Canis lupus familiaris: one gene and its partners. The protein of the gene in region 2 binds, or shares a complex with, the protein of the main gene of each other region. Links are inferred from orthologs where the notes say so. Each region holds a gene or a part of one and is shown on either strand. Other genes may lie near its edges. The genes, in order: PHF8, TOPBP1, GINS1 and BRIP1.

Region 1 (6,719 bases), on a different chromosome or scaffold from region 2:
TGAAAGATCAAGTTGGGGGGGGGTGCTGTTAATGGGCAGAAGGGCTGGGGTCCTGGTCTTGGTTACAGCAGTCAGGGCCCAATCAGGCAGTTGCATATACAGGGACACAGGCTGCCCCCACTTCCCTCCCCTCACTACCCTCTGCTGCCTTGAAAACCCCAAGAAAGCAAAGCTGGGTGGAAACAGGAGAGGGATGTGGGGACCTCACGTGCTGGGGGGGAGGTAGCCAGGCTATTTGCCTTTGGTGTGACTAGATGGAGGGCTGCATGGCCCATGGGGTCCCCAAAATAAAAAAAAAGCAGATGGGTTTAAGGGACCCCTGATTCCAAATAAGGAGAGTAGATGTGGGGCTATAGAGAAAAGACAAACTGGAGACACAAAGATGACAAGGGAAACCACATACTCCTGTGGCCTGCATGGTAGCTGTTAAGTTCCCCAGAAGCACTGGGCAAACTGGGGTGAGGTCAGAGTGGGGAGTAGAGGGCAAGGATGCACTCCACTTGGGCAGTACCAAAATGGAGGGAGTGGGGTATTCTCCATCCAGACCAGGTTGCCAGGGAGGCAAGACAGGCAGTGGTGGAGGGAGGTGGCCGGGGAGGAGGAGGGAGAGGGGTTGGGCACTGTCTGAATGATAAAGACACCCACAAGGGGAAGATGGGGAGTGGAGGATCAGATGATCTGCTCCTTTACAGATGGGCATCTCTTCTTCCAGGCTCAGGTTCCTGAGTAACCCATCTGCACTCTGCTGGAGCTGTGACCTGATGTCTGGGAGTATAAAGGCCCAGACATGAAGATGTGTGTTTTGAGGTCTTCTTCAGACCAAGACCTTAGGTGGGGAAAGAAGCAGAGAGGCTCCTGATGGAGAACCCAGGGGTGAGCTGTCCTGTCACATCCTCTCCAGAAGGTCCAGGCTGTGCTCTGTGGTACAGGTAAAGAGAGCAGGCTGTACGCAGGGCCAGGGTTATCTGTTTCAGTGGTAGGAACTTTCAGACTTTTGGGAGATGGTTTTTCACCTCCTGGGGCCCAGATATAGCCACGTGGATAATGTTCTATTATCAGGACCTCAAAATCTAGGAAAATACCTGAAGCTCACCCGGGGACAGGGGACCTCATCTGTAGCCACCCAAAAGTAGCTTCCTCCAGTGGGCTACAAAGCCATGGTTAAAGGCTTAGGTGTTGGTCCTCTCTCCACCTTAAGAAGTGACAGAAATTTCTCTTCTTCTCAAAGATGAGTGAAGTCAGCCCATAACTTTTCTAGTCCACCTCTGAAAATGGCCCATGGTGGGGCAGTAGAGAGACTCTGGGCCCTCCTCTTTATTTTCATCAAGCATTTGGCAAAAGGGAGCAGGGCTAGACCCTTCTCCCAGGAACAAGTCTGGAATGGGACATGTCCGCTGGGTTGGGGAGGGGAAGGAAATATGGGCAGAGGTGGGCAGGCTTCTGGAAAACAGGGCTGGAGCTGTGGGAAGTGTTGAGCACTGGGCCTCCCACTTCATGACCTGGGAAATAGCAAGAGGCCAAGGCTCACTTTATGCCTCCCCTCAACCTGCCTTCCAGTTCTAAGTGGGGATGAGAGTAAAGGGCGGATGAGGCTGGTAACAAGAAAATGGGTTGGAGCAGCAGAAAAGAGGGTTCTAGTCAGCCAGAAAGCTCTCCCATTCACCTGCTACTCAGAGGTATGGAAAAGGAAGGCAGGATTCTCTAGTGGAAGTAGGGAAGGGAGTTAGGGGAATTGGTGAAGGGGCCCATAGGGGAGTCCATGCCTTTGGTCAGTTCCAAGAAAGCAGGACAATGCGCCTCAGCACCTTGTCCGGGGCAGACAGGATTCAGGAGTGCCCCAGAGAGTTGACTATGGAGAAGGCAATGGGGGTGAGGGGGTGAAGGGGTGAGGGGCAGGACACTAGGGGGCTCACAGAAGTAGTTTGCCATTTCTGTGGATTTTCAGGATACGGCCAAGTCTCTGCTTTGCTGTGGCCAGGCCCTTTTTAGGACGCTTTCCTGTGGGGAAAAGAGAGGTAAGTAAAGGCTATGGCATGGGCTTCAGCAGCAACTCCAGCACCAACTATCTTCAGTCTACCCAATTCCTCTGTTCCTCTGCCCACAGTCTCCCCATCCTTATGCTGCCTCCAGGCACACCTTGGGCAAGAAATCCTCCTTAACTATTTCCATCCAACACCACATGTCTTTGCTCTTCCTTCTATGACCTCCTGCAGCAGTTACCGAATCCCTGGTTAGTCTGTCTGGTTCCTTTCCCTCACTGATTTCTTTGGTCCCAATCATTTTCCTTCCTAAATTCTACAGGGCTGTGGTTATGCCTCCTTGTCCTCTTATCTTGATTACTGGGACTACACAAGTGCCTGGTTAGTGATTATAGCTCAATGTCCATGAAGGTGCCATCCTCAGGGCCTTGTTTCATTAGAAATTTTCATCGTCAAAAAAGAAAGAAAAGATAAAGAGAAAAAGAGAAAAGAAACCCCCATCCTCATCACCTGATGCCACACTGACCTCACCACCCTCGAGTGGCACACTCTAGGGACTGGGATTTGAAGGCCAAAGTGAAGAAAAGGAGGGCTTGGACACCCCTCCCATCGCCTCTTCCTCTCTCTCCCCACATCAGATCATCTCTCATGACCCATGTGACCTCCTCCATATTTTATCAATTTATCCCCTCCTTCCTCTCCATTTCTGCTATAGCCCCAGTCTCTCTTCACCTGAACCTATGCAGATGTCCCCTCTCTAGACTTCCCACCTGCAGTCCACCCTCTACTCTGGTCACCAGAAGGTTCTTTCTAAACCCACATCTGAAACACCTCTGTGTAACACAGTTAATGTCTCTTCATGGCCTAAGAGTTCAAATCCAAGCACCTTAGGTTAGCTGTCTGTGTCCCTCCCAAGTATTCTCATCTACCAGAGTGCTCAGGATTTGGAGCTGGTGACCCTAAGCTCCTTCTCAGTTTTGCAACCATGTGGCAGTCGTACCTTGTCCTGCTTGATTGCTCTGGGAGCCAACTGAAGGGCGCCGCTGGGTCAAGAAGACGCCAGGGGCCATGGGTGTGGTGCTGCGGTTTGCCTGGGCCATACCAAAGGCATTGGGACGAGCAGTATATTCATGGTCAGCAAGACTTCCTGAGAGGGCCTCTTGTTTAGGCTCAGGAGGAGGCGGCGGGGAGGTGGAGGTGAGAAGCTGGGGTGTAGTGGCCAGAGATGGAGCTGGTACTGCCACAATGAGGTTGGACTCCTGAGGGCGAGGCTGTTCTACCTCCTTCAACAAAGGCTTCTTCTTAATATATTTCTTCTTTTGGGCCTTCTGTAGCTCCTGAAATATAAGCCGAGTGGGAGGGGAAATTCAGGACTGGAGGAAAGAAAAGAATTGCCCAGAAAGGAAACTAGACACTGGTCAATGTGGTCCTGCAACCCACCCCCACCCCAAGTCTAGCCTGGACGTATGTACACACAACACAGGCCTAACACCTGAGATCAACTCTTTGGGACCATCTATCCTTAAGTTATCACTGCCACTAATCAGTACAGTGGTACTGAAAGGAAAATGAATTCAGAGACTTGAGTTTTGGTCCTAGCACTGTCATTTATGAGGTGGACCATGGATACTTCTAATAAGAATAGCTAAATTTATGCTAGCAGCTAAAGCCCTTTATACAGTTGACCCTTGAAAAATGTAGAGATTAGGGGTACTGACCGCCCCCCATGTGGGCAAAAATCCCACATATAACTTCTGACATCCCCAAAACTTAATTCCTAATAGCCTACTATCGATTGGAAGCCTTACTAATAACATAAACAGTAGATTAACATATATTTTGTTATGTTATCTGTCTTCTTACAATAAAGGCAGAGAAAATAAATTATTAAGAAAATCATAAGGAAGAGAAAATGCATTTACAGTACTACTGTAATAAAATCTATGTACAAGTGGACCTGTGTAGTTCAAACCCATGTTGTACAAGGGTCAACTGTATACTTTACTTCATTAATTCCTCAGAGTAGCCACGAGAAGGAAAATCCCTTAGTTTATAGATAAGAAAGCTGAGGTGCAGGGATATTAAGTAAGTTGAGCCCAAAGCCTCACAGGTGAAGAGTTGTTGGGTCCAGGATTTAGCCAGGCCTATCTGAATACCCACCCTGCACACTTCTCAAAGAGGGTCCTCTGGGAGTGAAAGAGCAGTAACTTTGGAATTAAAGAAAAACTTGGGTTCAAATCTAGGTTTGTGCTCCCTGGGTGGGATGACTTCAGTCAAGTTACTAACCTTTGTGAATCTCAATCGCCTCATCTGTAAAATGGGCAAAATAAATCTGTTTTTCAGGGTTGTCAGGAAGAATAAAATGATATAAAAACACATAGCACATAGTAGGTACTCAACAAGTAGTAAACTATTACTCTATCTTCATTACTTTTACAATGGTTTTCCTCCTCTTGCTGGTCTTTTCTTTTCTTTTTTTTTTTTTTTTTTTTTTTTTTGCTGGTCTTTTCTTTTAATGGAGGACTTGACAATCCTCCAGGTCAGTGGGTCTTAAAAGCACAATTCTGGATGGGAAGGAGGAATAAGGAGTTATGTCAATTCACCCAATATCTTGGATTTCATCCATCCATTGTTCTATGGATCTGCTATCCACTACGTAGCGGGTACCTATATAGTGGGCATCTGGAGCCCTGAGAACCTGGAAAGGTAGTCTGAGAGCATGTGAACGACTTCACCTTCTGAAATGCTACACAGCCACACAAACCAACTCAGTGATTACATTTCTTTGCCTTGGCAACACAGGCCTATTCCTGCCTTCGGAAGATCTGACAGGCTGTGGCTACCATAGGAATTTCTGGGGGACAAGAATAATAATATTAGTAATACATGCTAGGTACTGTTCTATAATTTAACTCATTTAATACTCAAGAAGTATGAGAAGAAAGAGTTAAAATCCCATTTTTAGGAGAGGAAATTGTGGCAGAGAGAGATTAAAGCATTTTCTCAAGGGTATAGGATCATGATGTGACCAAGTTGGGATCCAGACCTAAGCCATCTAGCTTTAGAATCTTTTTTCAACCTTACTGCTGTTCCACCTATACCAGAAACATTTCTGCCCCCATTTCTCTCATCTGAATCCAGAAATTAACCATTCACACCTAGGTGACATAGCCTACATTTTTCTTTAAAAAATTTTTTTTAGCCTACATTTTTCTATCTTTGTTGTCATCTCCTTGTATACTTCATCCAGATTCCCTCACTGAACATTAGGCTGTCTGAGGACAGGACAGCTTACACCTTGCACATTTCCTTGCTCAAAAACCTGTTAGTAGTCTGACATTCATGGTCCTCCATGGTCTTATCATTCATACTTTCCCAACTCACAATGATAACCCCGGAAAACTAACATGTCTATAGTATTTACTATGTGGCAAGTGCCATTTTCGGAGCTTTGCCACACATTATCTCATCTACTCCTCAAAGTTTATGAGGAAACTGAGGCACAGAGAAGTCAAGTAACATGCTGAAGTGGTAGAGTGAGGATTCAAACTCAGGCAGGCTGGCTCTACAATCCCTTTTTTAATCTGAATTTATCTTACCCCCTTGCCCAACCTGAAGCCTCTAATCCAGAGGGACCGGATCATTCATTCATGCATTCATTCGTTCACAGGCCCAATAAAGACTAAAACACATGTTTAGTCTAGTGGGGATATCAAGTTAAATTACATATATCCCCACCCTTGAGGCACTCACAGTTTAAAAAGGGATACAGAAAGGCATACTCTAAGTACTAGGAGAGAATACCAGAGAGGCACAGAAGGTTCCTGAAATAAATTGGTGGTAGGTGGTATGAAGGAGTGCATCTAAAAGGCATCTAAAAGGGAGGATCCCTAGTGGGCAGAGGAAACAATCTTGCAAAGGCACAGGGGCATGAGGCAATGGGATATACACTAAGTGAACGACAAACACCGTGGTACAACAGTATGGCTGGTGCAAAACATGTGCATGCAGGGCTGTGGGGAGGCTGGGGAGGAGAAGTGAGCAGAGGTCAAATTAAGAGGACCTTGTGTGCTTTGCCAAGGATTTCCCTTCTCCTGGAATGCCTCCCTGTTTCCTTCTAAAAGCTTAGCCTGCAAAACCCCTCCCAAATTTCAAATTGCTCAATTCTTTGAGCAAACCGAAGTGAGCTCCTTAGAAGGCACCCAAAGTAGTTTTCACACCTTCAATTATCTGTTTATTTAAAAGCCCCCCTCCCTTTTATTTCTAAATTACATCTTATATGGCACTAGGATGTACATAACAGAGAATTTGTGATCAAAGTGGCCTGCCTGGACTGCTTGCTCTCTGCTGGCTCTCAACAGCCTCTGAGACATTTCTAAGTACCTTTAGAGCTCTGTATAACAGCATTTATTAAAAACATCATCCTATTCTGTTTTATTTAAATAGGATATAATTATTAAGTTATATAAACATTTAACTATTTTATTGAAATAGCAAGTAACATGAAATCTGAAGTTAGAGGATATGAGTTTGAATCTTGTCTCCTCCATATCCTGGACTAGTCCCTTAAAGAGAGCCTCATTTTCTTTACCTGCAAAATGATGAAAATATCACCTATTGAATACGGCTACTGGGCAGATTATATGAGACACTGTACATGGAAGCACAAAACGTAAAGGAGATGCTCAATAAATGCTCTAAGCAACAGGATGACACATTAGGAGCCAAGGAGATGTTGAT
Region 2 (6,915 bases):
TGTCTTCAGTTTGTCTCCTTTGTTTCTGTGTTCTTCCTTTCTTGCCTTTTTTTGGTTGGGGACAGGATGTGTTTTGCTCTACAGATTACAGTATACTTCCTTAACTTTCCATAGTGTAGCTGGAATGATATTGTGCCACTTCACACAGAATGTAGAAAGCTTGCAGTCATAGAGGTTCCTTTACTTCCCCTATCCTTTTTAAACCAGGGGCTGATAAACTGTAGCCCACAGGCCAAACCCTGCCCACTGCCTATTTTATAAGGTTTTACTGGAACACACAGCTCCAGCCATTTATATGTTCTCTCTTCTGCACTACAGTAGCTGGGGTGAGTAGTTGCAACAGGGACCATCTGTTCCCCACAGCCTGAAATATTTAATGTCTGGTCGTTTAACATAAAGCAGGGGCCAGCAAACTTTCTGTAGAGTTGTCATATATTTTACATTGGTCTAATACAGCTCCACAGAACAGTGTTCTGCCTTAAAGTAAAAATTGCTTAAACAGTCCTATGTTTTGAGAAAATTAAAAGGAAGAATACAGTCTTATATTTATCCTACTGGTATCACTTTTCCTTCAGCCCGAAAAACTGGTTTGTACTACAAGTCGGATGGGACCAATTCTAGTTAATTATTTGAGTGTCTATTTTACCTTTATGCTTGAAGATTCTTTTTGAAGGCTATAGAATTTGGGAGTTGATATCTGTTTTTCCTTATATTTTAAAGAGTCCACTTTCTGTTGGCCTCTATTGTTTCTGATAAGAAGTCAGTGGTAATTTGAATTCTTCTCCTATATTGCAGTGCTCTTTGTCATTGTGTGTGGGGTATGTGTCTTGCTGTTCAGAATTTTCATCTTTGGTTTTCACCATTTAGGATATTGCCAGGTGTGGTTTCTTTATGTTAATGTAATCCTGGTTGGTGTCTGCAAAGCTTCTTTACTCTTTTTATTTTTTTTTATTTTTTATTTTATTTTTTTTTTAATTTATTTATTTATGATAGTCACAGAGAGAGAGAGAGAGAGAGAGGCAGAGACACAGGCAGAGGGAGAAGCAGGCTCCAGGCACCGGGAGCCCGATGTGGGATTCGATCCCGGGTCTCCAGGATCGCGCCCTGGGCCAAAGGCAGGCGCCAAACCACTGCGCCACCCAGGGATCCCTGCAGAGCTTCTTTAGTCTGTAAACTTCTTTCACCACATTAAAGAAATTTTGGCCATTACTTCTCCATTCTTTCATCTAGTTATGGGAATTTAATCACTCATACCTTTGGATATTGTCCCACAGGTCCTTCAGACTATGTTTACTCTGCAGTTTTTCTGTTTTTCTGATTAACTAAATCCTGTTTATCTGCTTCCAACTTCACTGATTTTTTTTCTGTATTTTCATTCTGTTCTTAACCCTACTCCATGAGATTTTTTATTTAGATATTAAATTTTTTTATACATAGAATTCTTTGGTTCTTTTTTTATAGTTTCTGTTTTTCTGCTTTTTCATTTCAAGGATAAGAGCAGCTATAGTGTGTCTACTACTTCCAACATCTGGGTCATGAGCAAGATATACTGTTTTTATTTTGAGGGAATTGTAGATTTACATATAGTTGTAAGAAATAACAGTTTCCCCCAGTGGATAACATCTTGCAAAAATCTAGCAGTATTACACAGTATTACAGCCGAGATATTGACGTGATGCAATCCACACTTACTCCAATTTCTCCATTTCTACTTGATGTGTCTGCCACCACAGTCAAGATATAGAACAGTCTATCACTACAGCAACCCTTCATTTTGAGTTTTCTTTTTTCTTTTTTTATTTTTTTTTTATTTATGATAGTCACAGAGAGAGAGAGAGAGAGGCAGAGACACAGGCAGAGGGAGAAGCAGGCTCCATGCACCGGGAGCCCGACGTGGGATTTGATCCCGGGTCTCCAGGATCACGCCCTGGGCCAAAGGCAGGCGCCATACTGCTGCGCCACCCAGGGATCCCTTGAGTTTTCTTAACTAGACCCATCCTTCCCTTCATTCTCTTCTTCCAGGGGTCTCACACCTGGCAACCACTAATCTGTTGTTTAAATTTTAAGTGGAATCAATATAGTATGTAATCTTTTTGGATTGTTTTTTTTTTCTCTTGAGAATCATTCATGTGTTGCTTGTATCAGTAATTTTATTACTACTTATTGCTGAGTAGTTCAGATATACTATAGCTTAACCATTAACCTATTGAAGGACATCTGGGTTGTTTCTACTTTGGGGCTATTATTGAAAAAAGCTACTGTGAACATTTGTACACATATTTTGTGTGAAAATAAGATTTCATTGCACTGAGATAAATCCAAAAAGACAAAATGAAGGATCACTGCGGAGATATAGACTGTTCTGAGATAAATGCTTCAGTGTGTTTCCAGAATAGTCACATTATACGTTCCTACCAATGAGATGAGCAATCCGGTTTTTTCTGTATCCTCATTGGCATGTTTACTTCATTATTTTAGCCTTTTCATTTGGTATGTAGTAATCCCTTGCTGTGGTTTTAATTTGCAGGTCCTTAATGGCTAGTCAGAGTGAACATCTTTGGTATACTTCATAAATGTATGAGGTGTGAGGTTTCATATAAGGTGTGAAGTTTAGGTAAAAAAAAAAATCTGTTTCAGAAGGTCTATAAAAGAACTATCCTCCATCTAGTTGCTTTGGCCCTTTGTCATAATTCAGTTGGGTATATTGTGGGGGTCTATTGATCTAGGTATCTTTTCTTCTACAATAGCATCTTATTTATGATTTATGTATTAAGCCCTGATATTAGTGATTCCTCTTTATTTTTCTTTTTCAAGACCATTTTAGCCATTCCGGAGCCTATACCTTTTATGTAAGTTTTAGGATAACCGTATTTATATGCCTACAGAAACCTCTTGCTATGATTGATATGAATCACATTAAGCCTACAGATTAATTTGAGTGAACTGACATCTTTACTATGTTCAGTCTTTTGATCCCGGAACTTACTGATTTAGGGCATCTTTAAGTTCTTTCATGAACATTTTGTAATTTTCAATACATGTGTTTTAAGTTTTGCATCTTTTTTGTGGTTTTGGATTCAGATTTTTTTCTTGAGAATGGGTCATGTTCTTCAGATGTTGTATAATTTTATATGCATCCTAGACATTTTAAGTTGTAAAAATTAGATTCTATTATGTTCCTCAGGGGGATGCCATTCTGTTTGCTTAACAGGCACCGGCTGCTGTGAGTGGGGGGCTCAAGTCTTTAAGCTTAAGCCTCCTCTGCCTTTCCATGGTGAGAGGGCAAAGATTGAGGCAGAGTTCATGACCGAGTTTGGGGCTTCTCCTGCTCCTTCCTGGGATTTCCCACCTCATTTTTCAGTGGCTGTGGTTTCAGGCCATTAATACTACCTGCTTTCTGTTGAGGCTTAGTTTAGCCAGCCCACATGACACTTCTCCTCAGACCGGACCCCCTACCAAGTGTCAACCCTTCTGATATTGCCTAATCTTATTTCCTCTCCAGTGTCTTGTGATAGTTGCCTTTAATATATTTGGGTTGGAAGTTGTCATCCAGGGAAGAGTTGAATCAAAAGGCACTTACCCAGTGTTTTATGGTGATTCATTTTCATGTTATCCAGTCTGCCACTTGGAGGGAAAGCTCATTTTAATTGGAATATGGTTGTTGCAAGGATTTTGGAGGCAGTGTTGTAATGATTTTGGCTTTGCCACCTGCTAGTTATATAATGTTATTTAGCCTTTTTTATCTTATCTGTAAAATGGGGAATATGAAACACCTATCTCACATGTTTACAGATTAAAAATATTTTTTAAAATTGACAATAAGGGGGGTGCCTGGGTAACTCAGTGGTTGAGCATCTGCCTTTGGCTCAGGGTGTGATCCTGGTCCAGGGATCAAGTCTCACATCTGGCTCTGCTTCTCCCTCTCCCTATGTCTCTGCCTCTCTCTGTCTCATGATTAAATAAAATCTTTGAAAATAAAAGTTGACACTGGGATCTCTGGGTGGCGCAGTGGTTTGGCGCTTGCCTTTGGCCCAGGGCGCGATCCTGGAGACCCAGGATCGAATCCCGTGTCGGGCTCCCGGTGCATGGAGCCTGCTTCTCCCTCTGCCTATGTCTCTGCCTCTCTCTCTCTCTGTGTGTGTGACTATCATAAATAAAATAAAAATTAAAAAAAAAAAAAAGTTGACACTAAGTATAAGGTGTCACTTCTTAACCTTACTCTACAAATGACACCATTATCAAGGTCTGAGCGTGCCCTATTCCACCTGAGCTATAAATTTTTCTGATAAAAGGTGAGATTTTGTCATGTATGGTCTATTCCTAGCATACCTTAAAATACAAATTTTAAGTCTTTCTGGCTAAAAAGCATAGTCAAGGAAAAAAATGAACAATGTATTTTCTTCTTTTATAGGAATCACCTCCTCCAGTAGAAAATTACTGTCTACCAGAAGCAGTTTCGTTTCTTCAGAATAATAAGGAACCTGGGCCTGGATTATCACAGAAGAGGAAAGCTCCTACAGAGAAAAATAAAATCAAACGACCTAGAGTAAACTAATCATGTTTGCTCTTTAGTCACCAAACATTAGTATTTTAATTATAAAGCCTGAATGTTACGGTCATGGATTTGCATAGTAATTTAAAGACAAGTGTCTGAAACATTCAGCTTCAGAGTATAATGATGATCTTGCTTGTAGTTAGTTTTTAACATCTGAAATTTTAATCACTGAAACATTAACTGTTTTTACCTGAAATAACAACAAAACACAACTCCTTGGCTGGCTTGTCATTAAACCACACTGTAGTGTGTAAGGGGCTGTTTATTTATTTTCTTGTAAATATCTGAGTCTATAGCTTAGTGAAGTTTTAGCAAGGTAATGGATTTTGCCTTAAAATGCCTGCTTTAATTTGTAACAATAAGGAGCTTGTAGATTGAGATTTATTCGTGTTTTCCCTGATTCTTCTCACCACTTTCCCTCTTTTTAACAGGAGCCTGAGTACAAGGTTTAATGAGAAACTGAGGCTTTAAACTTAAATATGTGTTAGTGTATATATGTATATGCATGTTTGTACAGATCTCCATGATGTTTGCCAAGTTTGGGAGCCAAAACTTGGAAAATAAAGACAATAAAGAATAAAAGTAGTGACTGAAATTAGTTGTTCAGATAAGTTTTTGAACAGAGCATCCTAGTATTCATTGTCTTGTTGAAGCAATAAATGATTTGTAAAATTAAGCTTAAAAAGCAAATCGCAAAAAAAAAAAAAAAAAAATCGCTGGGGTACCTGGGTGGTACAGGTAGTTAAGCATCAGACTCTTGATTTTCTCAGGGTCGTTGGTTCAAGCTCTGAGTGGGGGCTCCAGGCTCAGCTTCTTCCTTTTCTTGCCCCTCCGCCCATTCTCTAAAATAAGTAACTTTAGGGATCCCTGGTGGCGCAGCGGTTTGGCGCCTGCCTTTGGCCCAGGGCGCGATCCTGGAGACCCGGGGTTGAATCCCATGTCAGGCTTGCTGCATGGAGCCTGCTTCTCCCTCTGCCTGTGTCTCTGCCTCTCTCTCTCTCTCTGGGTGACTATCATAAATAAATTAAAAATAAAATAAAATAAGTAACTTTAAAAAAAAATTTATTACTAGTTATGTTTCTGATGTTTGTTACTTTAGAATATTGTATTACTGTGTTTAAAAAAAAAGTTTATTGGAACTACAAAACTGCATTAGCCTTTATTAAGCTACACCTAAACACCCTGCTACATGTGTTACCACAGTCTTCTAAATGTAAAGCTACCTCATTTTGCTGAAAGGAGGAACCAGATATAAATGGTCCCCATTTCATAGATTCTTTTTTTTTTTTTTCATTTCCTAGATTCTTTGAAGGCAAACTCAAATGGTGACGGTCGAAAGTCTTAACCTGAACACAAAACTCCTTTTTTTCAAAGTCTTCCTCTGTAGGGAAATATAGTAGGGTTATCACAGCCCCTCATAAATGGCCCTTCAAAGTTTTTGGCCTTGATCTAAATTCCCAGCTCAAAACAAAAATTCCTGTACAGCCAAATGGATAGATAGCATTGTCATGTAAACATGTCCCTCCCCAAACAAAATCACATGGCCTGGTTCTACCAGGGCAATTTTGTGTGAGTAGAATCTTTCCAGTGGCATCTTGCAGTATGTTTCCCTGAATTTCATCACTTAAATTTTTCGTTAAAGTAAATGTTAGATCCTGTTTCTCTCTAGCCCAGATAAAATTATATAATGTACGCTTTTCTGCCAAAATTATGAACTGTTTTTTCAGTAAATAAATACATACTTTAAAACTTTAAGGCTCCAGATCTCAACTGTTCCTCCTGATTCTCCAAAATCTTTATATCAATTATTTCAACTTTGGCTTTCCCTCTTAGACTATAAATGTCCTAAATCCAGCAAGACCATACATACAAATAATTTCTTTAAGATTTTATTAGAGAAAGGGCATGAGTGAGGGGGGAGCACAGAGAGAGAAGCAGGCTCCTCCCTGAACAAGGGAGCCCAATATGGGGCTTGATCCCAGAACCCTGAGATCATGACCTGACCTATAAATGCAGACACTTAACCAACTGAGCCATGCGGGTAGGCACCGCATGCAAATAATCTAAGCACAGATTTCCTTCATTTTAAGGAAAACAAAAAAGCTTTCCTTGATTATTCTTAGTTTCTCCTCAGAATTGCTATAGTATTTTAATATGACACTTAAATTAGAATCTTCCATTCCTCCATGAATTTTCTAGTGCATCAGCCTGATGGCCAGCATTCATTTATTCAACAGCTATTCCTTAGCATATAACAAGTACATGGGGACGCCTGGGTGGCTCAGCGGTTTAGCGCCTGCCTTCGGCCCAGGGCATGATCCTGGAGTCCCCGGATCGAGTCCCGCATCAGGCTCCCTGCG
Region 3 (7,801 bases), about 29 Mb from region 2:
GGGCCCAGGGACTGTGGCAGAGACACAGGCAGAGGGAGAAGCAGGCTTCCCTCAAGGAGCCCCATGTCCCCAGGCATCCCCTCTTTTAGAATTTAAATGGTGAATTCTTTAAAGTGTTATACCAACACATATTGGAGATTAGGAATCCAGAAACTGAGTTTAAAAAAAAAAAATTTGACCCTATTACTCACAAAATCCTCTTTAATAGAAAAAAAAAGCAAAGTGAGGGATATTGAACCTGGCTGGCATTAGGCCTAGTCTTCAGCTCTTGGTCCTGGAGGGGCGAAGGGCCAGGCCACTCCAAGGTAGACACTTTGGCTTGATTATTTTGAGCTGAAGGCCATCAAGACCCTATGGACTTCCTCCCTATGGAAGAAGCTTTTTGTCCCTCCCTTAACTACACAGGAGAATCTAAATTGGAGTCTTTCCCAGAATAATGTTTATTACCAGAGACAAATTTTACCTGAGTGACCCATCTATATGGCAAGGCAAGCATTTAATTACCAGACTTCAGCCTGTGACTTGCATTCTTTCCCTTCAAAGTCCCAGACCCCTACCGGATTCTCTTTAGTTCAAGATAATATATAACTTTATTTTGCCCAATTGTCCTTGGAATTTCCATATCAATGTGAATTTCCTGTAGGCAGGAAACTAAGTTTGATTTTCTCCTATTAATCTGTCCTATAGCAATTTGGTTCTTAATACAGAAGAGGACCTAGAAGGGGACAGGAAGTTCTTGCTCTCTGATATTCCACATTCACTGTCCATGTGGTCTGTTTTTAAATACAACCCTACACTGATGACACCCACATTGTATCTCTAGTCCACACTCCTTCCTTGAATTGCAGGTTCCTCTAATGGTTTACTCATTCACTCATTTCACCTAAAGTTATGTTCAAAGCTGAGCTCCCAACTCTTTCCCCACCCCTACTCCATGTGTAACCTTCCTGCTTCAGGAATGGTAGCCTTGTATTTGCATTTCCTTAGGCCAAAACTCTGGGATCATCCTTGAATCTTCTTATGCCTGATTCAGCACTCCTTTCAAAATCTATCCAGGATGCAACCACTTCTCACCACCTCCTCCATCCACATGCTGGGCCAAGTTGCCATCCTCTCTCACTCGAATTATTTTAACAATAATTTTAATAAGTGGTCTCCTGCCTCCACCTTTGCCAACTTTTGCTTACTTTGCCGTCAGAAAGGTCCATGTAAAGATGTAGGTCCAGTCCTGTCACTTGTTTTGCTCAAAAATACCTATATATAGTTCCCCAACTCACTCAAGTTTTCTTTAAAACAGAAAGCTTATGATAGGGCCTACAGGGTCCTACCTGGCATGGCCTCAAGCCCTCATTCTGATCTCAGCCACTAGAGTCTCCCTCCCTTACATTTTTTTTTTTTAAGATTTTATTTATTTATTCGTGAGAGATAGAAGCAGAGACATAGGCAGAGGGAAAAGCAGGCTCCTTGAGGGGAGCCTGAGCCACCCAGGAGTCCCTCCCTCCCTTACTTTGCTCCAGTGTCACTGCCTCCTTGCTGATGCAGGGGCCCCGGAGAGGTATGGTTGGCATTTGTGTGAGTCACCCAATCCCCCTCCTTGGGACCTTTGCACTTGCATTCCTGCTGCACGTGTAATTCTCTGCCTATCCTATGGCCCCACCTGCACATGGTTTATTCCCTCCCCACTACAGGTCTGTGCCTTCTCTGAACACTAACTCCAAACCCTCAGATCCTCTCATCATCACTGACTACAGAATTATTTACCTGCCCTGGCTTATTTTTCTTAGCACTAAACTAATAAATTTATCATCAATATATCTGTATCCCACACTGGAACATAGACTCTGAGAACAAGAACTTTGTTCACTACTTTATATTCAGTGTCTAGAACAATGCGCAGTATATAGTAGGCACTTCATAAATATTTGCTGAAGGAGTAAAGAGTCATTACAACCCTTCAGAAGTCCATACCGTTGGCCCCATTGTATAGGTAAGGACCTGAAATTAAAAAGGTTTATGACACAGGAAGGTTGTGGATACTGGCGATTTTTGGCATGCAATCCTGTAGCACAGTCCATTACAGATCTGTGTATTTAATAACACTTAGGTAAGTTATGCCTTACTGTAGAGCTGAAAAGGAAATTTCACTTAATTTAAAGATTCAAAGGCTTTGTAGGCCATTCCCATGCTCATTCTCCAGATTACACATCTATTGTATATATATTTGCAAAAGAGAAGGTTTCTAGAGTTAGCTGGAATGAATCCAGTAATATTACCTTTTTAAAAATATTGCTTTGTAAAAGGTAGCCAAGTAAAACAAATCGTTTGTATAGCAGTCATTTCTTTGATAGAATCAAATCTATGCGGTTATGAAAATTTCCGTAATCATGTAGGTAAGATTATGGCTGTGTGAATTTGTGTTAATCTAGGGTATTTTCCCCTTCTGTAGACTTTGTGATTAGAGTTATTTTAAAAGCGTTTTAAAATTACTCCTTGGGCAGCCCAGGTGGCTCAGCGATTTAGTGCCTCCTTCGGCCCAGGGCCTGATCCTGGAGACCCAGGATCGAGTCCCATGTCAGGCTCCCTGCATGGAGCCTGCTTTTCCCTCTGCCTCTCTCTCTCTCTGTGTGTCTCTCATGAATAAATAAGAATCTTAAAAAAAAATAAATAAAATTACTCCTTTAACATCAAAGGTGGTACTGGGAGTTGCAATCTTAAATCTAAAGTCTGACTGGGCAGCCCCGGCGGTGCAGCGGTTTAGCGCTCCCTGCGGCCCAGGGCGTGATCCTGGAGACCGTGGATCGAGTCCCGCGTCGGGCTCCCTGCATGGAGCCTGCTTCTCCCTCTGCCTGTGTCTCTGCCTCTCTCTCTCTTTCTGTGTCACTATAAATAAATAAATAAATAAATAAATAAATAAATAAATAAATAAATAAATAAATAAATAAAACATCTTTAAAAAAATAAATAAAGCTCTTCTTTAAAAAAAAAAAAAGTCAGTAACTTGAGAAGCGGCGTGACCTTGGAAGTTCTGTTGTTGGCTCCCTGGCTGAGTCAGTCCCGGGTGCGAGCCCCCAGGGTCGGCTCAGAGCCTACTCGAAGAAAAAGAAGTTACATATCTTGCTTTCTAATCAGTACCAAGAGTCTTAGAAGCACCACCTGACGATTAATCATGAGAATTAAATGAATGTCACAGCCCCTACCACACAGGAGATACCCAATAAGAGTTGGTTCCCCTTTTCTAGTTAACAAAAACCCACCTGCAAAACTAAAACGAAATGCTATGTCCTAAGATTAAAGCACACCCAGTTTCTGAGCGTTCCTTCTCAACCTCAGAGTGAACCCCCTTGGTCATAAATAAAAATGAATGAATAAATGGAAAAAAGAAGTTGCGAGATAAGCATCCATCGCGAGCTGCGAGTCTGCTCAGACCAGGTGGATCGCAGCCGGGGAGCCGGCCTGGGGCAGTACGCGGCACCCACCCCCCGCCTCCGCCCCTCCTAGAGTGCGGCTGCGCGGCGGCGGCAACTGTCCCTTGGCCGCCGCCGTAGGCCGCGAGGCCCAGAGCGCGTTTCTATTGGTTGGGCGTGTTTGGCGCCAAAGAGCCGGGCGGAGGCGAGTGTCGGCCGCTGTGGGACCGGGAACCGTGGGAGCCCCGGGCGGCGTGCGTGACCCCGGCGACTGTTGGCGTGAGAGCCGGCGGTCGACGTGGGCCTCGGGACCGGAGCGCGTAGGCTATGTTCTGCGAGAAGGCCATGGAACTGGTCCGCGAGCTGCATCGCGCGCCAGAAGGGCAGCTGCCGGCCTTCAATGTGAGGGAGGACGCGGGGAAGCGGGCTAGTCTTGCTGAGGGGCCGGGGCGGGGGCGGGGGCCGGGGCCGGGGCCGGGCCGGGGCCGGGGCCGGGGCCGGGGCCGGGGAGGGGAGGCGACCCTGGGGTTCTGCCCTGTCCCTGCAGACCCGGATGTGGGACTGGATCCTGAGATCTTGGAGGCCGGGTTTTCTCGCGGGGCCTGCTCTGAAGTCGGAAACAGACATTTTGGAACACGGGAAAGCAAGATTTAGCAGGAAAAAGAGAGCACCCCTGTTTTTGCCAGCGAGTTGGTGAATTCTCTGGGTCTGTTTCCCCCCGTGTTTTCCACGCAGAGCAGTACTGCGGGGCTTTGTGTCTGACCGAGCGTTTCTCGGTGCCGGTGACAATCCAGATTTGTTGCGCGCTCGGGCGGGAGCGAGGCCTCTGCGCCAGGCGGGGACCCTGACTGCGTCGTGGGGCCTCGGGCAGTTCCGCAAGCTTTCGGTGCCGGCTTTGTCTTGTGCAAAAAATGGGGAAGCGTGAGGGCTCCTAAGGGCGGCGCAGCCCAGGTTCTCCGGCCTGTGCCCGACAGTAGCGGCGAAGTCCGTGTTTTGTACTTATTTCTACCACGGCTGCTGCTACGACTTGTTACTAATAATATGTGTCTGTTACTTACCCCGACAGGGTACTAAGCACCTGGCCTCTGTTATTGTTATTCTCCTAAGAACCCTTTGAGATTTAAAGCATTTCTTCCAGCCCTGTACACAAAGGCTTGGGGAGATTGAGTATCGTGCCCGTGGCCAGCAAGAAGTGGAACTAAGATTTGAACCCTTGCAGTCCGGCTCCGGATCTGGACTCTAAATTCTACACTTGTCTACCTTCCACAGCATAGGGCAGCGGCTGGGTGGATGCCAGGGCATGTGCTCCCCTGCCAGGGACAGGGGCACAAAGAGTATTAGGATGCACCGTGAGGACACCAGAGAGGTGTACATAGGAGCACAAGGAGGAATACTGGGATGAACCTGGCGTCGAGGAGGGGGCATTTGGCCCACGCCTGGAAGGATGAGATCCCCACCCTGAGAAGGAAGATAGGCATTGCATCCCAAGGATACAGCCGCACAGAGACCCATGGTCACGTAGGAAGGAGTGACTGAGGTGTGCAGAGGCTACAAAGGTGTGTTCTAGGCGGAGGAGCGCCGGGTATTCACGTATAAGGCATTTGGAAGCCAGTAAAGGATTTTAGACAGGGGAGTGTTAGGGAAGGTTTTATGTTTTGAGGATAATGATGGCAGCACGATGCGGAACAGATTGGAAACAAGGAAGAATGGTGGCAGGGAGATGGTTATGGGTGGTTCTGATCGCTCTCAGACCTGCTGTAAGAGCTGGGTGTGATCCAAACTATGTCTGGTCACTGGGCCCACAAATCAGTGTCTGGGTTTCTGAGACAAGGCAAGTAGGACTTACACCTGCTAGAACAGGAGTGGAGATGGGGTGGGTAATGAATGAAAGGGAGAAATCAGAGGGTCTTGGGGGGATTTTCTCTGAGTTACAACATCAGAGTTCAGGAGAAGTGTTTAGGGAAAGGTGAGGTTTTTTTGTTTTTTTTTTTGTTTAAGATTTTATTTATTAGAGACAGAGAGAGAGACAGGCAGGCAGGCAGGCAGGGAGCCCGACGTGGGACTCGATCCCGGGTTTCCAGGATCATGCCCTGGGTTAAAGGCGGCGCTAAACTGCTGAGCCACTGGGGCTGCCCTGAGTTTTGTTTTGAACGTTAAAAAGCGCCTGGTCAAACAGGTCATTTTGCAGATGAGACTGAGCCAAGAGAAATTAAAGATCAATTAAGGGACTGTCTGAACATACAGCATATTGGAGCAGAGCCTCACCTCCGACACAGGTTTCCTAGATTACTGTTCTTTTAGAACAGTTACCTCATTTAAAAAGCTAGGAGACAATAGTGGGAAGTTCAGAGATTCTGGAATGCCAAGGTGTGTAGGCTGTAAAATATGACTCCATACTGCAGTCAGACAGCTGGGCACTTTGAAGGTCATCTAACATAAGAGGAAATAAGCCCAAAGAGGCACAGGCTTGTCAGCAGAAACTGGCCACACCAGCCCTGCAACTGGCTCTTCAGACCCTTAGTCCATCCAGCTCTCTGTTTCACACAAATTTTAAGTGTTGGTTTACCACTTTTGGGAGAGCTGGGGCGGGACTTAGAAGTTATAAAATCACTCCTTTTTCTAGGTCTTAGTTTGGCAGAGCACCTTTTGCACATGCACCTTCTACTGACAGACCCACCTGCCAGCCAGGTGACTGACTCAGTAGCCTGGAAGACTCAGCCTAGGGAGGCTGGCTGCTCTGACACAGCCAAGCAGGGACAGGCCAATCCATCTGATTGATCTGAGGGCTGATAGGCCCATTACCCACATGACTCTTCAAGAATCATTCCTCCCAGGAAGATGATAGTCACTGGATTTAGAGCAGGAACTCTGCCTTGTTCATTCCAGGATCTCTCAAGGTTAGTTGCTGTGTTCAGCAAATTGAAATGATTGTCCACTTTCTATATGCAGAACTGGTAATAGTTTAAGTGAGTTTTTAGGAAAATTACCGTAGGCTCCCAGCCTGACATGGGAATACAAAACAGTGCAATTTTTCACTACAGATTTAAAAAAAAAAATTAAATATGAAATCATTTTTATAAAATTGTCTATTTTTATAGAACTATTTTACACATCTTTTGTATACCTGTAGATCTATTAATCATGCAGGAGTTTCAGCTATTCCTTAAAATATTATTTGCTGATAAAAGAAATATTTAACAATTCTTTTTTTTTTTTAAGATTTTATTTATTTATTCACGAGAGACACACAGAGAGAGGCAGAGACATAGGCAGAGAGAGGTAGCACCAGGCTCCTTGAGGGGACCCCAGTGTAGGACTGGATCCTGAGACTCCAGGATTATGCCCTCAGCTGAAGGCAGACACTTAACCACTGAGCCACCAGGCATCTGTGTGTCTGTCTCTCTTTTTTTTTTTTTTAATATTTTTTTCTTTTATTTTCAATTTATGATAGAGAGAGAGAGAGAGGCAGAGACACAGGCAGAGGGAGAAGCAGGCTCCATGCACCGGGAGCCTGACGTGGGATTCGATCCCGGGTCTCCAGGATCGCACCCTGGGCCAAAGGCAGGCGCCAAACCGCTGCGCCACCCAGGGATCCCTCTCTTTTTTTTTTTTTTTTTAAGATTTTATTTATCTATTTGACAGAGAGCACAAACAGGGGAAGCAGCAGGCAGAGGAAGAAGGAGGAACAGGCTTCCCACAAAACAGGGAGCCCCATGCAGGGCTTGATCTCAGGACCCTGGGATTATAACCCGAGCTCGAGGCAGATGCTTAATCGACTGAGTGACCCAGGCACCCCTATTTAACTGAATTCTAATAAATCAGACTTCTCCATGCTCTCTTTTTAACTACTTAATGAAAGGGAAGACAGAGGTCATGCTTAGGTTTTTTATTGGGAATTATGTATTTTCTTATGTTTGAACAGGGTTAAGTTGTTTTGTAGTTATATTAATAATGCTAAAATGTTTTTGTTAATACATATATGTTGGCCCTAAAAATAGTTGGGTCACTTATCTTTGGATTGCTGACTACCTACTGTGTAATGTTTTTGAACTCCAAAATTTTAATGTTTGTATCCTTCCAAAGGAAAATCTTTAAAAAATTTGTCCAAGATAGGTAGTAGAGAAATTCCTTTGGTCCTTCCATTGTTGCAAACCAAAAGTGTTTTTTTTTTTTTTAATTTTTTTATTTACTTATGATAGTCACAGAGAGAGAGAGAGGCAGAGACACAGGAAGAGATAGAAGCAGGCTCCATGCACCGGGAGCCCGACGTAGGATTCAGTCCCGGGTCTCCAGGATCGCACCCTGGGCCAAAGGCAGGCGCTAAACCGCTGCGCCACCCAGGGATCCCAAGTGTTTGTTTTTTGTAGTAATCTTTTGAGATCTGTTTTCATTAAAGT
Region 4 (7,178 bases), on a different chromosome or scaffold from region 2:
AGACTAATGAGGTGTAAATCTTTTGTCCTTGGATTAGGCAGTGGTTTCTTAAATCTGACATCAGCAGCATAACTAAAAAAAAATAGATAAGTTGGGCTTTGTCAAAGTCAAAACTTTTGTTCTTCAAAGAACGCTACTAAAAATGGAAAATATTCACAGATGGGAGAAAATAGTTGCAAAAAGTGTTTCTGATAAGGGTGTAGCATCCAGAATATATAAAGAACTTTTATAATTCAACAATAAGAAGATAAATAATGCAATTCAAAAATGGGCTAATAACTTGAATAGGCATTTCTCCAAGGGATATACAAGTGGCCAGTATACACATGAAAGGATGCTCAGCATCACTAGTTATTAGGGAATTGCAAATCAAAACCACAGTGAAATGATACTTCACATTTCCTACAGAACATATAATGAAAAAGTGGATAATAAGTGTTGATGAGGGTATGGAGAAATTGGAAACCTCACACAAAGCTGGCAGGAATGTAAAATTGTGCAAGTGCTTCAGAAAAAAAGTGTGGTAGTTCCTCAAAAAGTTAAATATTGAATTCTGTACAATCTACCAATTCCACTCCTAGTTGGATTCATATGAAAATTTGTACCAAATGTTCAAAGCAGCATTATTCATAACAATCAAAATGTGGAAACAACCCTAATACTCATTAACTCTCCACCAAGGCACCACTCGACAGGGGGCTCAATCTCAGAACCCTCAGATCATGACCTGAGTTGAAATCAGGAATCAGACACTTAAGCAACTGAGCCACCCAGGCGCCCTTGAATAATTTTTAAGATTAAAAATTTTTTTAGCAAACCCAATATGACAATCTGTAAAAAGAATAATGCACCATAACAACATGTGGTTACTATCTAAGGAATGAAAGTCTGGCCCTCTATTTGAAATTTTGCCAATGTGCTTCACCATGCTAACAGTCTAAAGAAGAAAAACTACATGATCATATCAATTGATACTTCCGAGGTTTCTTTTTTACAAAATTAAACATTCATTAATGATGAAAACTCATTAAACTAGAACAAAGTTCATTTACATAAAATCTACAACTAATATGATACCAAAGGTTAAAAAAAAAAAAAAAAGTCTGTGTGGCTAAGATTTTGGAAAATATTTTCAATAATATTTTGGTTTTCAAAATAGAATGCATATAACATTTTTAATATAAGTCATCAATAGTTGGCAATTGTTTTTTTAATATACCTACTTTGGTATATTATATTGAACCATTTCTATAACCTTGCTCATAATAGCAAAGCTTTGATTAAAGGAATATTCCACTGATATATCACTGACTTTCTCATTCTTTTATCTGTCCCATGAGAAATTTGGCTTTTCTTTTTTTTTAAAGCTTTATTTATTTTAGAAAGAGAGCACAAGTAGGAAGGCAGGGAGAGGGAGAAATACTCTCAAGCAGACTCCCTGCTAAGTATGGAGCCCAGTGCAGGGCTCAATCTCACCATTCTGAGATCACAAACTGTTACAAAATGAAGAGCCAGAGGCTTAATCAACTGCACCACCAAAGCACCCTGTTGGTTTTTATTTTCAAGTTTATTTTTGTTTGATTTTTCTCCCTATTTCTTTTTATAGGTGTATTCGACACAAAAATGATTGGGGAGCTCTTATTCTAGTGGATGATCGCTTCAGGAGTAATCCCAGTAGATATATATCTGGTAAGATTCTCAGATGGGCTTAAAGTAAGAAATAATAGGGAGCCCTGGGTGGCGCAGTGGTTTAGCGCCTGTCTTTGGCCCAGGGCGGGATCCTGGGGACCCGGGATCGAGTCCCACGTCGGGCTCCCGGTGCATGGGGCCTGCTTCTCCCTCTGCTTGTGTCTCTGCCTCTCTCTCTCACTCTCTCTGTCTGTGACTGTCATAAATAAAATAAAATAAAATAATAAAAAAATGGAAAAAAAAGTAAGAAATAATAATGATCTTTGGCATTTGATAACTACTAGTTTTAAAGAAAAATTTTGGACAGAATTTGTTTTACTAAATCAAACTTGGAAAAATTCACATTGTTGGGAAATCTAGCCTTAATAATGCTTGTGTTTATAAAAAAAAAAAAAGTAGAAGAATCTGGTTAGATACTAACATAGTATTAATCAGGATCCTTCAGTTTCATAGAATGTAGGATTTAATTAAGTAACAGAGTATTTAGCATTGTAAGGGGAAAAAAAGGCTGTTCACAAAAATGAATTTTCCAGGAAATAAGTTTTTACATGTAAGCATGTAAGCAATCGCCTTTGTCTGCTTAGAATTCCTTATTCTTTCATTATGGAATATACTGAAGTTTGATTGTTTATTTAGATATGCTTCAGCTGTTCTACAGTTTATGTTAGTCAGAACTAGTATTTTCTAAAAGAAAAAAAGCACCATGTGGGTCTCAAGATGAAATAGATGGTCATTTTTTGCCCACTTAGATGAACAAGTACTATGTGCCTATAGTTTCTATCCAGTAGTCAGAGTCCCTTTAGAGTCAATACCAGGAATCCATCTGTTATTAAAGAACTGTTAGGAATACTTGCATCTGTATTATCTTTAAAGCTTAAAAAGTTCATACCGTACAATGATAGAGATGCAGAATTTTAAGTTTCTTTCAGATTAGCTACCTGTAGGTATGGACTTTGTTTTCTATCCCAGAGCCTAATATTTGGTTTGGTATTAAAATGTATCCACCTGGTTTAAAATAGCAAGTGCTTTATTAGTCTTTTCTGCCCTTTCCATGTAAAGCAAGCCATTGTGCTTAGGTCCAGATATAACTAAAAGAAAAATGTTAAGTGCTTATGTTTAGTCAGCAGATGGAGCTCAGAGTCTTTGTGTTTTCAAAAGCAAATGGACATTTTGCACCAAAAAGGCTTTCTTTGATTACAGAAAGTTCCAAACATGAAAGAAGTTTATAACTAAAAATTGTCCATTTTAGAAAGTTTCTTGTTTAATTGTTATAATTATTTTCCAAGTTAACAAAAATAAAGAACTTTAAGGGAAATGTTTATTTAAAATGTGCTTCTAGGGCTACCTGACTGGCTCAGTAGATAGAACATGTGACTCTTGATCTTGGGATTGTAAATTTGAGCCCCCCATGTTGGATGTGGAGATTACTTAAAAATAAAATCATTAAAAAATTAAAAATTAAAATATTATTCTTGCCAACTATACTTCAACTAAAAAATGCAAAATATGAAAAAAAGTTTTTCTTATTTTAAAATCTTGAAGTTAAATTTTTATCTGATCAAATTTGATTTTTTTAAAAATTGTATTTTTTTAGTCTGTATAGCCAATGTGAGGCTCGAACTTAAAATCCCAAGATCAAGAGTTGCATACTCCACTTACTGAGCCAGCTAAGCATCCCTGACAGATTTTAAATGAAGAATTTTTCATTATTTTTGTATGGTTTTTATTTATTTTTTCTGAGATTCATAAAAATTTGAAGTCTTCTTATCGAGACAGTAATAGCACAACATACAAATTCCTTTTGATTTCTAGTCTTTGTTTAAATTCAGCTTGTAGGGACGCCTGGGTGGCTGAGCAGTTGAGTGTCTGTCTTTGGCTCAGGTCGTGATTCCGGGATCGAGTTCCATATCAGGTTCCCTGTGAGGAGTCTGCTTCTCCCTCTGCCTGTGTCTCTCCCTCTTTCTGTGTCTCTCATGAATAAATAAATAAAATCTTTTTTTTAAAAAATTCAGTTTGTATTAACTATAGAACTCCATTTGATTTGCATTAAATATAGAAAAGCTCCATTAAAAAAAAAAATACTAAAGGGGAATGTATTTGAAATGAATGAATTACAACTTGAAACTTGAAGCCCTGTCTTACTTTTCTTCTAACTTAAAATACCATAGTGACTTTTTAAACTACTTCAGAAGATGATGATAGTTTTAGTAATACCAACCAGCAGAGAATATTTATTTTTTAGAAATCCAAATGTCTGATTTTGAATTTCGTTCTGAAATTAAACAAAACACTTATACTTTTATGTGGTTCAAGTTTATACATTACTCGCATGTCACAGGTCAAATCCTATCCCTTATAACTTGGTTATTTATATATTAAAAAAGAATTATGTAATAAATATACAAACAGGACATGATTTGTCCCTAATAACATTGTTATTCTTTTCATTCCCTGGATAGTTTAAGACATTTGGAATTGGGGGAGAAGAGCAACAAAAAAGGAATCTTGAATTTATTTTTGTGAAGGAAGTCAAAGTTAGAAAGTTGGAATGGAAGACTGTTGATTGTTGTTTACAACTTTTAGTTTCCTTAAAATTAAAGAGCAGGCATTATTTGTGGAAAATTATGATGAAATTAAATTTGCCTTATTTCCCCAGTTATCCTAAACTGACAAATAATACATTTCCCCCTCTGCCTCTTCCCTCCCTCCAGTTGATAATCACTGCACATAAAGAAAAATGTTACTGATACATGAGCAGAGTATACATGTGAAGATGTTTAGGCAGGAAAAATACTGAGAATCATTCTATATACCCTAAATTCATGTGGATTACTTCATTAGAAAAATGATCTAAGTGTTTTCTTAATACATATTTTTTAAGATTTTATTTATTTATTCATAAGAGACACAGAAAGAGGCAGAGACATAGACAGAGGGATAAGTAGGCTTCCTGTGTAGAGCCCCCCAATGCTGGACCTGATTGCAGGACCCAGGATCATGACTTGAGTGAGCCAAAGGCAGATGCTCAACCACTGAGCCACCCAGGTGCCCCAAAACATAATAGCTTAAGAAACTAAATAACTACAGTTTCTTCCTTGGGTTTACTTTTTTCCTTAGGACTTTCCAAATGGATACGGCAGCAGATTCAGCACCATTCAACCTTTGAAAGTGCACTGGAGTCCTTGTCTGATTTTTCCAGAAAGCACCAAAAGGTCATTAATGTATCCAAAGAGGACAGAAAGTTTACACAAGACAGTGAGTCTATACTTGAAGTGACCTGTTTGAAGGACAATACATTAACTTACTTAGAAGCAGCAAGTCCTCTAATACCAGAAAATCCTAGGAAAGGTGAAGCAAAAATACGTGTCCAAGAACAACAGTGTCTTACAATAACTGAAAGTCCACCTCTACCAAGAGGCATCATCTCCAAAAAGGAAAAAGGTTTGAAAAGTTTTGCCTATTTACATTTGATAGAGAAGTCTTTCATTATATCCAGTGAAATGATATTTATTGTGCTATAGATTAATTTTTTAAAACACGGTTTGAAATAGAAAGTGTTACCATAAAATAATAAAATAATATGGTGTATTGGAATGGGAACAAACTTTTGTCAAGAGATCTAAGCATAGTTTGTAGTTCTCCACTCACAAGGTTTGCCACCACCTAGCTGTGTGACCTGAGCAAGTCATGTAACTTTTTTGAGTCTTAATAGAAAAAAGAATCTATACACACCTATCTCTTAGGATGGGCTGTAAAGATCTAATAATATGAATATCATGAATATCATGAATAAATATCACAGCATAGTAAAATATACTGTACAAATGGTAGATATTTTTCTAAAAGCTATAATAAAAATTGGTCTATTTATAGATACAAGAGCAGTATTCAAGTAAAAAACATGAATTTCTTAGTTTAGGTAAATATGAGTCATTTATACTAAATGATAAAAAAATAATTGTAAAAAATAGAGGAGTATCTGGGTGGTTCAGTTGATTAAGCATCAGACTCTGGGGGTTTGGGCTCAGGTTATGATCTCAGAGTTGTGAGATTGAGCTCCACATAGGGCTCTGCACTCAGCAAGGAGTCTGCTTGAGATTCTCTCCCTCTCCTCCTGCCCCTCCTCCACTGTGTGGGCTCTCTCTCGTTCTCTCAAATAAATAAATAAATAAATAGGTCTTTAAAAAATATACATATATATATACACACACACATATAAGAATACACACACACACACACACAAGAATAGTCTGTCAAGGATTGACAAACTATGGCTTATGGACCAAATTTGGCCATCTGTTTTCATAAAGCACGTCTAATGGAACATAGTCATGTCTATTCAGTTACGTATGGTACACAACAGCAGAGTTTAGTCATAGTATGTTTTGTACTGGAACAGCATAATTGAGTACATACGTACCTCAGAGATATTGTGGGTTTGGTTCTAGACCACCACGATAAAGCAAGTATCACAATAAAGCAATTCAAGTGAATTTTTTGGTTTCACAGTACATATAAAAGTTATATTTACATTATACTACAATCTCTTAAGTGTACAATAACACTGTCTTTAAAAATAATGTATATACCTTAATTTAAAAATATTTTATTGCTAAAAAATACTAGCCATCTGAGCTTTCAATAAGTCATTATCTTTTTGCTGGTGGAGTGTCATGCCTCAGTTTTGATGGCTACTAACTGATCAGGGTGGTGTTTGCCAAAGGCTGGGGTGATTGCAGCAATTTCTTAAAAAAAAAAAAATACCACATTGAAGTTTGCCACATCAATTGACTCTTCCTTTCATGAATGATTTCTCTACAGCATGCGATACTGTTTTACTTAAAAGTAGAACTTCCTTTCAAAATTGGAGTCTGGGACGCCTACGTGGCTCCGTAGTTGGACCTCTGCCTTCAGCTCAGGGCATGATCCTGGAGTCCTGGGATGGAGTCCACAGTGGGCTCCCTGCATGGAGCCTGCTTCTCCCTCTGCCTGTGTCTCTGCCTCTCTCTGTGTGTCTCTTATGAATAAATAAGTAAAATCTTTAAAACAAAACAAAAAATAAAATTGGAGTCAGTCGTCTCAAACCCTGTTGCTACTTTATTAACTAACTTTAGGTAATATTCTAAGTTCTTTGTAGTCATTTCAAGAATTTTCACAGCATCTTCACTAGGAGTAGCTTTCATCTCAAGAAACCACTTCCTGAAAAAAAAAGAAAAAGAAAAAGAAAGAAAGAAAGAAAGAAAGAAAGAAAGAAAGAAAGAAAGAAAGAAAGAAAGAAAGAAAGAAAGAAAGAAAGAAAGAAAGAAAGAAAACACTTCCTGCTCATGTGTAAGAAGCAATTCCTCTTCCATTGAAGTTTTGTTATGAGACGGCAGAAATTCAATCACGTTTTCAAGCTTCCCTTCTCATTCTAGTTCTCTTGATATTTCTACCACATCTCCACTGAAGTCTTGAATCCCTCAAAGTCATCCATGAGGGTTGGAACCAGC

The links.
Region 1: the proteins of TOPBP1 (region 2) and PHF8 are in contact, whole or in part, in a crystal structure (PDB 7CMZ), measured with the Homo sapiens proteins. The link is inferred for Canis lupus familiaris from reciprocal best matches to the Homo sapiens genes TOPBP1 and PHF8. Residues at the interface, in NP_008958.2 of Homo sapiens: Gln1298, Cys1299, Arg1314, Asn1315, Glu1316, Leu1319, Arg1369, Ser1406, Arg1407, Gly1410, Phe1411, Arg1413, Leu1414, Arg1465, Thr1466, Glu1467, Ala1470, Asp1471, Gln1475, Asn1483, Tyr1484; in NP_001171825.1 of Homo sapiens: Gly842, Ala843, Cys844, Phe845, Asp847, Ala848, Tyr850, Ile851, Tyr852, Pro853, Ser854, Leu855, Glu856.
Region 3: the proteins of TOPBP1 (region 2) and GINS1 are in contact, whole or in part, in a cryo-EM structure (PDB 8OK2), measured with the Homo sapiens proteins. The link is inferred for Canis lupus familiaris from reciprocal best matches to the Homo sapiens genes TOPBP1 and GINS1. Residues at the interface, in NP_008958.2 of Homo sapiens: Leu490, Leu491, Ser492, Gln493, Tyr494, Glu495, Asn496, Leu586, Ser587, Arg588, Thr589, Val590, Val596, Cys601, Glu602, Val603, Ala605, Thr606, Val607, Gly608, Val610, Lys629, Pro636, Val637, Pro638, Val639, Met640, Thr641, Arg726; in NP_066545.3 of Homo sapiens: Asn43, Gln44, Val47, Asn48, Lys51, His66, Arg91, Tyr94, Gly95, Ser96, Asn100, Arg103, Phe104, Arg119, Ala122, Met125, Glu132, Gly133, Leu134, Asp135, Thr137, Gln138, Asp139.
Region 4: the proteins of TOPBP1 (region 2) and BRIP1 are in contact, whole or in part, in a crystal structure (PDB 3AL3), measured with the Homo sapiens proteins. The link is inferred for Canis lupus familiaris from reciprocal best matches to the Homo sapiens genes TOPBP1 and BRIP1. Residues at the interface, in NP_008958.2 of Homo sapiens: Leu1272, Ser1273, Ser1274, Leu1275, Asn1276, Pro1277, Arg1280, Gln1298, His1311, Leu1313, Arg1314, Asn1315, Glu1316, Lys1317, Leu1319, Gln1366, Arg1407, Gly1410, Phe1411, Leu1414, Thr1466, Glu1467, Ile1469, Ala1470; in NP_114432.2 of Homo sapiens: Ser1129, Tyr1131, Phe1132, Thr1133, Pro1134, Glu1135, Leu1136, Tyr1137, Asp1138.

The regions. Positions count from the first base shown.
Region 1 is NC_049260.1:45,972,986-45,979,704, forward strand, and holds part of PHF8 (histone lysine demethylase PHF8), read right to left. Parts: intron 4,290-6,719; coding exon 4,266-4,289; intron 3,317-4,265; coding exon 2,980-3,316; intron 1,999-2,979; coding exon 1,914-1,998; coding exon of another isoform or gene 1,910-1,913; exon of another isoform or gene 919-1,909; coding exon 828-918; 3' UTR 1-827. UniProt on the Homo sapiens protein: Histone lysine demethylase with selectivity for the di- and monomethyl states that plays a key role cell cycle progression, rDNA transcription and brain development.
Region 2 is NC_049244.1:31,034,718-31,041,632, reverse strand, and holds the end of TOPBP1 (DNA topoisomerase 2-binding protein 1), read left to right. Parts: intron 1-4,411; coding exon 4,412-4,555; 3' UTR 4,556-5,268; downstream 5,269-6,915. UniProt on the Homo sapiens protein: Scaffold protein that acts as a key protein-protein adapter in DNA replication and DNA repair. Composed of multiple BRCT domains, which specifically recognize and bind phosphorylated proteins, bringing proteins together into functional combinations.
Region 3 is NC_049244.1:1,737,374-1,745,174, forward strand, and holds the start of GINS1 (DNA replication complex GINS protein PSF1), read left to right. Parts: upstream 1-3,579; 5' UTR 3,580-3,731; coding exon 3,732-3,806; intron 3,807-3,951; exon of another isoform or gene 3,952-4,110; intron 4,111-4,673; exon of another isoform or gene 4,674-4,960; intron 4,961-6,098; exon of another isoform or gene 6,099-6,301; intron 6,302-7,801. UniProt on the Homo sapiens protein: Required for correct functioning of the GINS complex, a complex that plays an essential role in the initiation of DNA replication, and progression of DNA replication forks.
Region 4 is NC_049230.1:34,938,307-34,945,484, forward strand, and holds part of BRIP1 (Fanconi anemia group J protein), read left to right. Parts: intron 1-1,606; coding exon 1,607-1,689; intron 1,690-4,806; coding exon 4,807-5,130; intron 5,131-7,178. UniProt on the Homo sapiens protein: DNA-dependent ATPase and 5'-3' DNA helicase required for the maintenance of chromosomal stability. Acts late in the Fanconi anemia pathway, after FANCD2 ubiquitination.